Ovis aries: one gene and its partner. The protein of the gene in region 1 purifies or fractionates together with the protein of each later gene. This does not show direct contact. Links are inferred from orthologs where the notes say so. Each region holds a gene or a part of one and is shown on either strand. Other genes may lie near its edges.

Evidence for each region. The genes of interacting proteins can lie anywhere in the genome.
Region 2: the proteins of VTI1A (region 1) and VAMP4 purify together in Homo sapiens (affinity purification with mass spectrometry; 4 studies listed by BioGRID and IntAct, counting the BioPlex papers as one, with this or other methods). This does not show direct contact. The link is inferred for Ovis aries from reciprocal best matches to the Homo sapiens genes VTI1A and VAMP4.

The regions. Positions count from the first base shown.
Region 1 is NC_056075.1:32,504,966-32,511,070, forward strand, and holds the start of VTI1A (vesicle transport through interaction with t-SNAREs homolog 1A), read left to right. Parts: upstream 1-2,668; 5' UTR 2,669-2,823; coding exon 2,824-2,917; intron 2,918-6,105. Other genes in the region: palmitoyltransferase ZDHHC6, read right to left, coding at 656-922. UniProt on the Homo sapiens protein: V-SNARE that mediates vesicle transport pathways through interactions with t-SNAREs on the target membrane. These interactions are proposed to mediate aspects of the specificity of vesicle trafficking and to promote fusion of the lipid bilayers.
Region 2 is NC_056065.1:38,444,125-38,450,372, reverse strand, and holds the start of VAMP4 (vesicle-associated membrane protein 4), read left to right. Parts: upstream 1-2,824; 5' UTR 2,825-2,980; intron 2,981-3,058; exon of another isoform or gene 3,059-3,287; intron 3,288-5,748; 5' UTR 5,749-5,799; coding exon 5,800-5,865; intron 5,866-6,248. UniProt on the Homo sapiens protein: Involved in the pathway that functions to remove an inhibitor (probably synaptotagmin-4) of calcium-triggered exocytosis during the maturation of secretory granules.

The sequences.
Region 1 (6,105 bases):
AAATTTTAGCTCAAAAAGAAGGGCTGGAAATGCAAGCTAAAATTCAAATTCTATCTTTTCCCCATCTCCCATAAATGAAAATCAAACTACAGTATTTATTCATAAGGGTTGGCTTGTTATAAGCTGTCCATTGTTTCTGAATACTTTATAAACTAGTCAGGGAGGCCTGGCGTGCTGCAATTCATGGGGTCGCAAAGAGTCAGACACAACTGAGCGACTGAACTGAACTGAACTGAGCATCATAAAGAGTCAGACACAACTGAACGACTGAACTGAACTGAACTGAGCTTCTAAAGTTTTCTTTTTCAGTTATGAGGGATGTTAACATGTTACATGGAAAAAAAAAATCCCAGTGCCAAACCACACTGTGGAATTATGAGGTACACAATATACAGTGCTTCCTAGAAACTTATGACCACGTACTCATTACTACCACTCCTTTTTTTTTTTTCATTGAAATCGCTTTGGGAAATACTTTCAAGCAGGTATGAAAAAAATTCTTTGAGCTCTAAATGGCCAGTGATTAGAATAATATGCTTAGTCTCCACCAAAGTAAAAAGTAGGCTATGTTTGATATTATTGGTTGGTAGGTAAGGAAAAAACTAAATATATGATTATCATGAGGGTTCACCATTTTAAGGAACCTTTTTCTTACCGGTTTCCACCCCAGAGGGACGAAGCCAGGACCAACAAACATGGCATTGAAGTAATTATAAAGAATCATGACAGTCCAGTTTATCAACATAATGAAATTCACGCTTCCTCCAGTGGTATGTAAGGGCCAATACCACAACACAGAGTCAATCATGGCCATGGTAGAACATATTGCTATAACACCAAGGGCTATAATGGGACCCCAGTGACAAAGTCTCTTTAATTCTTGGAGATTTTCAAACTTGACAACTGAGCAGAATGTACCCATTTTGGTGAGGAAGAATGTCTTCCAGTTTTTAAAGAATTACAGATTTCCTTTTTCTGTGCACACATTTCCTCGTGCCACAAGTCCGTGTGTGTTCCTTAATTGTCATGTCGTCACGTTGTGGGATGTTAATGCAGATTATGCCATTTTCACTGACACTTTTTAATCTAGGAGAATCCAGTACCTTGGTTTGAAACTTAATCTAAAGAAAACAAAATGAGAAGGTTGGGTAAGACATTTTACTATCTACTGTATTTGTTAATTTCAATAATCGCCTAAATAGAAGCAGCTCACAAGTACATTACTATGAATGAGTATCTCACCAAATATCAAAGAGAACCATTTTCATCTTATCCAAACTTTAGTCAATTCTGAATGGCAGGTAAACTGGATCCATGATTCTTAAGTGGTTGTTTTTTTCCCTTTGTTCCTAACTTGTCAGAGGATTATGTCTGTGCAAGCGTTTAGTGAAAGGCTGCAGTTAACAAAAACAATTTAGAGCTGGGATGGAGGGCCTTATAGTTGACCTAATCCAGTTTCCTTCTTCATAGAAAAGAAAATGGCTCAGAGAGGCTGAGCGATTAAACCACTTGGGTGAGTGACAGCTGAACCCGACAGAAGCCAAATCATCAAACCTCCTTTACAGAGTTCTGAACTGTCTCCTACCCACTCTTGAATTAAATCCAGTTTGATCCAGACAAGGTCTACAGCATTTGCCTGCGGTTGCCCCTCAAAGGCTAACGTAAGGTCTACTTGTGTTAGAAGTAAAGAAATCGGAGGATGAAAGCTCAAGGAGGGGAGGGGAGGAGCGGGGAGAGGAGGTGAGGAGAGAGACGTGTGTGTGAACTCAGGGCCGGAGGCGTAGATGAAAATAAGCACGAATGAGACTATTGGGGGGACGGGGAGGGAGGGAGCGGGGGCGGGAGGGGGGGGGGAAGGCGAGGGACCGGGAAGGCAGGACGGCGAGCGCGGGGAAGATCTGTAGAAGGCTATTTAGCACTGGACTGGAGTGAGTCAAGCGAAGAAGATCTGAGAACCAGAGCAACAAAGATTTCCACGCAAGAGATGTCGCGCTGCCTCGTGCCTCAGTTTCCCTCCCGTGTTATGGAGCAGAGCACTGAGAAATCCTCACGCAGGGGACGAACATCTTGGTAAGGGTGGTTGGTCTCGGTTTTCTGGAGATGCTGGCTTCATTCGGGTGGGGCGATGACCGCAAAATCATGTCCCCTGCTTTGACTCCCACCTCGGTCCGGTCCTCAGTGCCCGCTCCTCGGCCATCGCATTTCTGGGGCGGCTCGGGCTCACCCGGAGCAGACTCTCTCCCTCTCGGATAACTCCTTCCTGGGTACCCCAGCCCAACGCAAGTAGAAAGTAAATTCTGTGCGCTAGAAGCTGGGGTGTGTGACCAGCCACGACCCGCGCGTCGCTCCGCCAGCGCCCTCGCAGCTGCTCTCCTGCTCGAGCTCAGTGCGCAGTCTCCGTGACAGCCACTTCCGGGAGGTCCGCCGCATCAACCTTCCGTCGGGAAGCAAGTTCCTCTGGCTTCTAGTTTGGGGAACCGGAACCACTTTCCAAAACGCGGAGGAAGGAAAAAAAAGCTTTTAAATGATTCCTGAGAACACGAGGTTTTTTTAGGCTTTTAGGGACACTGATTTAAGGGGTTTTCCTTAGAGAACTTCTTAATCTTGGAGCCTAAACGGAAACTGAAACACGCACCCAGCCCAACTTCCGGAGGACCAAGATCGCGACGAACAACCAGGAAGCGGTCGGCCTGGGAGCTGTCCCCGGTTCTCTGCTCCGCTCTCTAGGGAACTTTCCGGGTCCTTACACTCTGTTTTTCTTGCCCCGCGTGACCTCAGCTCCGTTCTAGGCTCCGACCCGGGCCGGCCACTCCGGAACCCGCCATGTCGTCCGACTTTGAAGGCTACGAGCAGGACTTCGCGGTGCTCACAGCAGAGATCACCAACAAGATTGCAAGGGTCCCCCGACTCCCACCTGGTAAGGGCGCTTCTTAGGCCGGGCGGGGGTGTCCTGGAAAGTGGGGAGGCTCCGGTGTGGACGATGGAACTCTGCCTCAATGCCTCTTAGGCGCGAGCCTGGAGGATGAAGTAGTGTCGGGGCCTCCGGGAGGAATGGTTGAGTGGGTTGAGGGTAAGGGGAGGATCCAAGCTGGATTGTGGGGTGCAGAGCCTTTGGAATCTGAAGCTTTTTTGGAGTTCTTATCTGGACTTCTCCACCTTTTTACTCGTATAACCATGGGAACGTTTCTCTGAGTCTTCGTTTTGGTTGGCTTTTCTGTTACTTTTGTTTGTGAAATACAGAGATGTGAGAGTATTCAACGAGAATGAATTAACGTACCAAGGTCATGGGTCTACACCATACAGCAACGTTGTTTTGTTAGTAACGATGTTATTACTATAGGCAGAAAAGCAGGGTTGAGAGCCGTGGTGCCTGGATTCAAATCCCAGCCCTGCCACTTAGAAGTTGCATTTAGGCAAGTTTCTTAACTTCCCGCAACTTTTGTTTCTTGGTAAAATGGAAAGAATTGTGCATCTCTCATGTGAAGATTAAATGACTTAACATATGTAAAATCCTTTTTTTTTAAAATGTTAGCTGCTATAATCATTAATATTTTTCATACTACCAAGCTCATTTATTTTTTTCTCATCCTTCTTGAGAAACGATGTGTAAAAATTGGTACAGAATAATTTTTCTCACTTTTAAAATCCCACAGCTGTCATTCAGAAGAATTTTTTTGTTTTAGCACATCTTATTTTAAATGCTGGACTGTCAACTATGTGAAGGTGGGAGCTATCTTTGGTTTCCTTGGCATTTACTTAGAAGGAGCTCAGGAAAATGTTCAAGGAAATGAACAGATACATAAATATGATATCATGTAATTTTCATCTGTAGGATATTGTTTTAGGATTTGTTTTCTCTCAATACAGATTTAATTTGAGTATTTAGTTGCAAATAAGATTGCTATTCAGGAACTTAGCTGTGGTAGGGAAATTGAACCGTATACCTTCACTCTGTGGTGTAAAGTTTATCTGTAAACCGGTGGTCAACTTCATTGTTCCACCTTGTCAGTCAGTCCTTGATGCCAGCAATAATTTCTCCTATACCGAAGCTGTGATTCCTCTTTTCCTTTCCCCACCTCTCCCCAAACTTATGTGTTTATAAATAATTTTATTCCTTTATTTCTTTATTTTTCTCCTCCCCCTCCCACACCTGTTTTCTATTAATAGGGACATTTGCTTGAAGCCAGGATCTCTGAACTTACACCCCATTCATCTCCTGAAGTCCCAGTTAGTTCTGGAGGAGGTGGAGGATGATGTCTTAAAGAGGTGTATGAGTCCAAGTGAGGGAACAAGAGGAAAGAACCAAGGTAGCATCTACCACGGAGCTCTGCTGCCTGGGAGATTGTTGTGGCGAAAGTGGCCAGTGGCCTCATCACTTCATGATACATCACCTCGCCTCTTCTCTTCAGTTCTGCTTTCCTCCACCACCCAAGATCATCTTGATTTTTGTTGTCATTATCGTTGGAGCCTACCTTTGACTTCAGTCCCAGAACCTCAGAATATCAGGATTTGTGGTTTTGTGGGATTTTTTTGCTCTGTTTTAATTGTCAGAATTGTAGCTTAGCAAACATTCTTTTGTTTGGGCTAATAGCTTTGGTATTGAGAAGCTATTCTATAAAGTAACAAAGTCATTCCTGGGTGCAAAATTGTAACAGCCAATTCCAAGAAAACAGATTTGTTACAATTGTTGTTTTTTTTCTTCCCTTTTATTTTAATGTGACCATTCTTACCACATAGAAACCTTTGAATTAAGTAACTTAGAGACCTTGAATTTCTACAGCTACAATGTAATGTAAGGTCCAAAGAAGCAGCTTCATGGGAATTGAAAGGAGACTATAGCTGGCATTGGAAAAATGCTTACTAACTTGAATAATTAAATAAAATAGTAATTCTTAAAAATACTGTGGTTTCCCTCTCAATAATTATTTGTACTTGCTCATTTTATAATCTGTTTCTAGTTGATAAATAGGGAAAGATAAAAAATATTATGTTTGTAGTTATGCATTTCAGATGTATATCTGTGGACAACAGGAATTGATTATGTGCAACCATGCAAAACTAGTATGATTAAAAGTAATTATAATCTCTTCCTGGCATCATTGGTGGTTGACCCAGAAATTACCCAAGTAAAGGTTAAAAATTGGAGCAAAATTTTCAGCCAAAGCAGTTTAGTCCCTGAAATATTAACTTACTGAAATGGGATTAGAATAAATTGGATTGATTGCAACTAACTTCATTCTCTGCTGTGCATGTACAATGTGTTAAAGTGTTACTTCCAAGAGAATAGAAAAGATTAAATATTTTAAAACTTCAAAAAGAAATTTGATTACTCTGTGGACCAAAAGATAGATCAGTCTCTTCTTAAGTAATATTCTTATTGCACTATATTTGAGCTTTGATTTTAATGATTTGTATTCTGGAGTAAAGTCAGGAAAATGGATGAGTGGAAACCATCACTAACACTAATTGTAACGTTCCTCTTTCTCTGACGATGAGTTGTAAGTGGGGGAGATACTTTATAGAGGCTGGAATTCCATGCCAACAAGCAGGCTTCCTGAAGGATCTTAAGCAAAAGGTTCCTTTGCAGTTAGTTGCTTATCTCACCGTGTACAGGGAGAAAAATGGTCTGTTGTGAAGCCTATCATTTGGTAGCTGTAGTCAGAAATACTGAGAAAGGTGTTATGGTAACAGTTCACATGTGGCATCAGATCTGTTTAGAATCCCAGCTCTGCTGCTTATTAGATGTGCAACTTGGGCATGTTGCCTTGCCTGTCTAAGTCTGCCTCCGCCACCTGGAAAATTCAGTGTGTGTGTGTGTGTGTGTGTGTGTGTGTGTGTGTGTGTGTGTTGGAGGCAGGGTGTGTGTATGATAGTTTCACCCTTCAGTTCAGTCACTCAGTCGTGTCCGACTCTTTGCGACCCCATGAATTGCAGCACGCCAGGCCTCCCTGTCCATCACCAACTGCTGGAGTTCACTCAGATTCACGTCCATCGAGTCAGTGATGCCATCCAGCCATCTCATCCCCGGTCGTCCCCTTCTCCTCCTGCCCCCAATCCCTCCCAGCATCAAAGTCTTTCAGTGAGTCAACTCTTCGCATGGACTGG
Region 2 (6,248 bases), on another chromosome or scaffold:
CACTTTAACTTTTCATCCTCTGAAGAAAGTTTGAAATGTATCTATTTGAGGTATTTTGATGGTATAATTTCATTCCTTCTAAATAACTGCTCAGATGCCACTTGTGACATAGCACCTAAAGCAAGGAACTATGATAAAGGAACCCTCGTGATTTCTGATGTCAGTGAAGTGTGACTGTGACTGAGACCAACTTCATGGATTGTTACAGGCTTTGAAATGAGCGTGAGCAGAGTATGTGATATTTTCTTTGCTGAAAAAAAGATTAAAAATTAAAAACATAAAACCATTCAGAAGTCTAATAAAGGAAAATAGGAATGATAAATGTGTATATATTATGCACAAAAAGGTTTAGATACAGCCTATACATGTATATATAGAGAGAAAAATGTAGGGTAAAAAGATACCCTACTTGTCTTTCTACCAACTCTGTAATATGTGGCAGAAGGGGAGCTGACCCAAGAATTTCTGACTAAACAATGCTGACTGAATGTGCCTTCACTGCCTAAAGAAACCAGAATCTTCTCATTCTGGCTCACCCCCCTTCACCCCCCTCTCCCATCTCCCCTCGTCAGAGTCTGTAAGTAGTGAGTTTTAAGTACCTGCCTATATGTGAGAGGCATAAGAAATTCTTCCTTTTGGAAACCCCTCCTTCCCATTTTCTTGTGTAGTCATGGCAAGTAAACTTATCTCTTTATAGTAGTGTAAGAGTGGTTTGGATATAATTCTACTTTCAGGCCTGATGGAGTAAACTGAGACACACCAATTCTCTAAAAATAAATGGAAAAGCCAGATAAATACAAACAGCATCTCTATAAAGCAATCCAAGAGCTGCTAGAGCATTGAGGCTGGAGGAGCCAAGATTCCGAGGGGGATCTGCAAAATGGAGAGCTTTTTCCTTGGCCAGGTGGAGGTACTTACTGATTCTCGGTAGAAGGCTGAGCACCTGGGCTTTGCCTGGGTCAAGGGTCATCAATGGGGGGGGGGGGCAAAAGAAAAAAAAGTTATATTTTGGGTTCTCACAGGACTGAAGAGACAAAACTGAAATCTTGGAGAGCCAGGATTTCAGAAAGAAGGAAGGAAGGAAGAACTGAGGGACCCTGATGGTTTCCCCTCAAAATTTTGCTGAATTAGGAAGCTGTAATACTTGGTACAGGAAGTTAGGATGAGAAAATCACTGTTTTTCAGTTTTCTGCTTAGCCTCTTTACCTACCCAGCAGAGATGAGAGTCACAGCACCAAAATCCAAGAAAAAAAATACACAATAGAAACCGGCCCACAGGTAATTCATGTATTAGATTAACAGACAAGGACTTTGATTCAAATATTCAAAAATAGAACTTCCCTGGTGGTCCAGGGGTTAAGACTCCATGTTTGTAATGCAGGTGGGTATGGGCTCAATCCATGGTTGGAGAACTAAGATCCCACATGCTGCACAGTAGAGCCACTCCCCTAAAAAATTTACCCCAAAATGACAAAAAGATAAAAGGGGATCAGAATTTATTTTTAATGGAAATTCTGGAACCAAAAAATACAATCACTGAAATCGAGAGCAGTCTGGGAAATCAAGGGCAGGTAGAACTACGTCTGTGCACACAGATACTGACATTGGCTCAGGACGTGACTCAGTTGCATCTCTGGAGCTCGGTCTCAGTGCTGGAATCCTAAAATCTAGTGCAGACTCAAAGGGTTTGTGCACACAAGAAGGAAACAAAAACAAAAACAACTCTTCACAGAGCGGAAGGAGCGGGTGGGATGAACTGAGAGAGTAGCAGTAACATATACATACTACCATCTGTAAAAACATAGCTAGTGGGAAACTGCTATACATAACACAGGGAGCCCAGCCCCCAGTGCTCAGTGACAACCAAGGTATCTTTCACTTAGTGTTTGTTTGGCTTAAATATGCACTAAATCAAAACACTATTCAACAAAGAACCTAAAAATATTTCGTAAAAATGACATGTAGAAAAAAATTGATAGAAAAAAACCATTAAGAACAATCCAGCTGGGGAGTATCTGGGAGGAATGGATAATAAACAAGACATAACAAAAACAATGCTGGAACCGTTATGGATTACTATGCCCAGGCACTATCGGCTTAAATAAACCACTAACCCGGGGGGAGAGGAGGTGGGCAGAGTCAAGAGAACAGGAGAATGGATGTGCAAGGTTGATTTCCCACGATAAGGCTCCGGTGCCTGCGTGGTGTCTGGACCCAGGCATTTTAGGTTAGAACTCTACAGCATGCTTACTGGGGAGAGAACACTGAGTCCTACCTAGACTCAAAAATCTGTCCACCGAGCCGGGCAACCTTAAGGAAATCTCTTTGTAAGAGAGATTCCTAAAGTCTAAAATAGGGAGACGAGATTAGTAACCCTGACGATCTATACGTCTAACTCTGATGTTATAAACAAGGGATCACACAGATCTCCTTCCTTCAGAAAAGGCCAGTCCTCAGGCTTCGAGCCGTCCCGGTTTTTCGGCAAATCTGCATTAGCTCGGGGGATGGACCCCGCACAAAGCGCCGCCTCATTAACGCCTCATCAACCCCAGCCTCGAGCAGGCCTTCAGCGCCCAGCGCTGAGTGACTTCTCAGTCCTTCCTCCACCTCCCCGGGACGCCCGACCTCGGCTGGGACCCGGGAACCCGCGACTGTGTTTCCTCCCTGAACAGACAAAATCACCTGGGGCATCCAGGCCTAAGCTTCGCGTCCGCGGCGGCCTCCAAGAGGAGAGCTGAGGGGGATAATCGACTCCCTCGACGATCTCCGTGGCCTGGACCCGCCCCCTCAGCCTGGAGCCAGGCTGCGGAGGGCCGATCGGCTCGATGAGCGGGGGCGCAGCTGCGGCTGAGCGGCCGACGCCGGGTCCGCGCCCACTGTCTCCCCCTCCCTGCTCTCTTCTTCCGATTCCCACTCCTTCCCCCGCCCGTCCAGCGCCGTCCGCCCGGGAGAGTTGACGGGCGCTCCCCGGGAGACTCAGGTACGGCCGTCCTCCTGGGCCCGACGGGAGGGGCGGATGTGCGGAGGAAGGAAACGGAGACGGCGTCCGTGCCTCGCCGCCCCCAACGTCCGCGTCGGGCTGAGGGGCTGGCCTCGGGGGTCGCCGAGTGGGGAAAGGCTGGGGTCGGAGGGGCGGGTTACCCTGAGGAAGAATGATCAAGACCTGGGTGTGCAAAAAGGGGCTGTTAAGGGGGAGAAGAACAGGAATTGTAGGGTGCTCTGGGGAGATGGGAGGACAACAGCGGCGGGGATAGGGAAGACGAGAAGAGTGGGAGGCAGCCCGGAATGTGAGTGCGTATCTTGGGGTAAAAAGGACTAGAGTCTGGAGCAGATGGCGGGGGACGTGACCCGGTGCGACTGATGCGGGGGGCGGGTGAATGGGGCTGCTTGCTGGAGGGATGAATTTGTTTCTTTATTCAAAGACTGGGGAGAGAGCGCGCCAGTCCCGTTGCATTTATAATGACCGGAAGGGTAAGGTGAATCATTAACACTTTGACAGCTTTTGTGAAGAGCATCTTCAGGCGGTGTCCATCCAAGTCACTTATTTCCGTGAAACTGCACCAACCAAGATTGCTGATGAGAGTTGAGGAAGAGGAGTCAGAAAGGGAACGGAGGCTGGGAAAAGGGAGCCCTCTATACAGATTTCAAGCTTTTTCTAAAATGAAATACTAGGGGTTTTGGTGTGCTTGTTGTTTGCGTAAAGCAAAAAAGAAGCCAGCATTTACTAAACAACAGGTTAGAAGTATATTACTTACTGCCTCTTCAAAAAATACAGGAAATTGTGAACGTATGATGATGGCATAAGAAGCTTATGGTGATGTGACAGAAAAATGTATTGGTGATGTTGAAATACATCACTGAAGGTTCTGTTGTTTACATACATACCTAGACACAAACACCTGAATTTATATGTATTTTGGGCAGGAGAGATCTAGGGAGAATATATATAAGTCTAATTTCTGAGCATGGTTTATTTCTGCTAGTCGTCTGGTGCAAATATCATTTGCCCTGTCGTTCATCAACTGCAGTTAATAATCTGCCTGCTGCTTTGTTGATGCCTTTTATGTTTGTCAGTGATTTCTTGCCTTCATGAAGCTGATTCTTGGATTATGGACCCTGAATTTGGGTTTGCTCATCGTTAAGCTTGTAGTTTTACTGTACATTTCACAAAGATGTTATGTAAGTCTGCCTGCTATTTGTTTTTGGATGTTGAAGCAGCCCTTTTGTAAAGTTTAAAATATAAATAAAATACAGGTATAATTAAAAGCTCGCGTCCTTTGGTTGCTTCTTTTGTCATCTGTTTCTCCATACTTTCTGTAACATTCTGCATGAATGAATTATTCAGAAATCGAAGTATGAGGAATAAAATGGGTCAGATGCTGGATGTGCGTGACAGAAATATTGTAGAATGAAGAACTGTAGAGCTGTTACTTAGGTAGCAAGTACTTGGTTTTTGTTACAAGTGATTAAGTTTCTGGTTTGGAAAATTATTTCTTATCAAAGAAGAGTGTTTATATCAATTTGTTTGGATGGGAAGTCAACTTAAAATTTTACTTTATCTTTTATGAAACTGGACTCTGGGCTTGTTTTTTTCTTTTTTAAGTGAATGATTAACCACCAAATTGATGCCTAATTATGCTTAAAGATCTTAGAGGTGGTTTTGTGCAAAGGGAAAGGGCTGCTCGGTTGTTACAGGGAAATGGTCTTTATAGAACAGAATTGTGTAACCTGATAGACAGCTTATTGAGTAAATACTAAAATTGATCATGCACAGTCATTAATAATTTAGGCCTATGTTTCTGCTATTTCAATCAGTAGAGTGATTAATGCTGTTACTTATCTTTTACCAAGCCTTAGTTTTCTCTTGGTTTCTTGGTGCTTACTTCAAAGAAGTGTTGTAAAGAATTAAAAAAAAATGTGTGTAAGTTACTGAGCACAGTGCCTAACACATAGTAAAATAGTCAGTACACCTTAGCTGTTCTCATTATTCATCCATCTTCTTGTCCAAGATACTGACAACTTCTGTTTGCATATGTCAGCTTTTTCTCAAGAAAATTTTGAATATGATGCATATTCAAGCATGTTCCTGGAAAAACTCAATGCAAATAAGCAGTTTAAAAACAGACTTTCTGTAGCAAACAGAAAACCTGACTTTGTTTAACCCAGCACTTAGCAAACATATCCCTTTCCTTGGAGCACCTGGTGTTATGCATTGGAACAGGGCATTATAATTTACAGAATGTTTTTGCATGTATGTATTAATCTGATATGACCATCCCAACTCCATGCAGAAGCCTAGAAATCACTATTATACAGATGAGGAAATGGAATCATTGTTGATGCAACTCACTAAAAGTGAGTGAGAGAATTTGAAGTGTTTTCTGTCTTCTGACTCCAAATTAAAATCTTTAAGCATTTGATGTCTCACTTGCAAGGGGACAACCTCCTGTTTTACCCTCCTCTCCTGTGGAGTCTTCTGTTTCATTTTATAAAAATGTTGTCACTGATTTTCTCCACATGTTCTCTAAAAGTTGCCTCCATTTTTCTCAGGGTTTTAACTATTTTTTGTGTACTGAGTCCTCGCATGGAGGGAGGCCAGGGTCACTTGTGTGGAGACCGTGTGAGAGAGAGCAGTGAAAGTCAGAGAAGTGGAGGGGGCCCCATCACATCAGGCCTTGTGTGCTGTTTTTACTACTTTAGCTTGCACCCCTAAGTTTCAAATCTGATGAAATTTATTTTCTCTTTAAGGTGGTAAAGATTTATCCTGCTGGGAAGTAGAAGAGTACCTCATTAAAAAAGATGCCTCCCAAGTTCAAGCGCCACCTAAATGATGATGATGTCACAGGTTCTGTGAAAAGTGAAAGGGTAAGTTCAGAATCTTAATCTTGAAAAAGGAAAGATTAAAAATTTGTTTTACTTTGTAAATAATTTTAGAAAAATCTAATGTTTATGGCTATATTTGAATCCTATATGTTTTCTTCACAGAAAACATTAAAAAATATATGTTACTTAGATTGGGACTCAGCCAAATTCTGTTTCTATTAGTGACCACATTTTGTTCCCAGTTTCTTTCTAGTCTTTCAAGGGGAATTTCGTATAAATACACAATATCTTCTTTCGGACTCTGGAGCCAAATGTGGTTGGAATTCCTCAGAATTTTTCAGATTTTACAGAGGTAGTTAGTGCACATTTTAAAAGAGTCTTTTGGGGGAGTCTAGAGCAGCACCTCCGAACATACTAATGTTTCT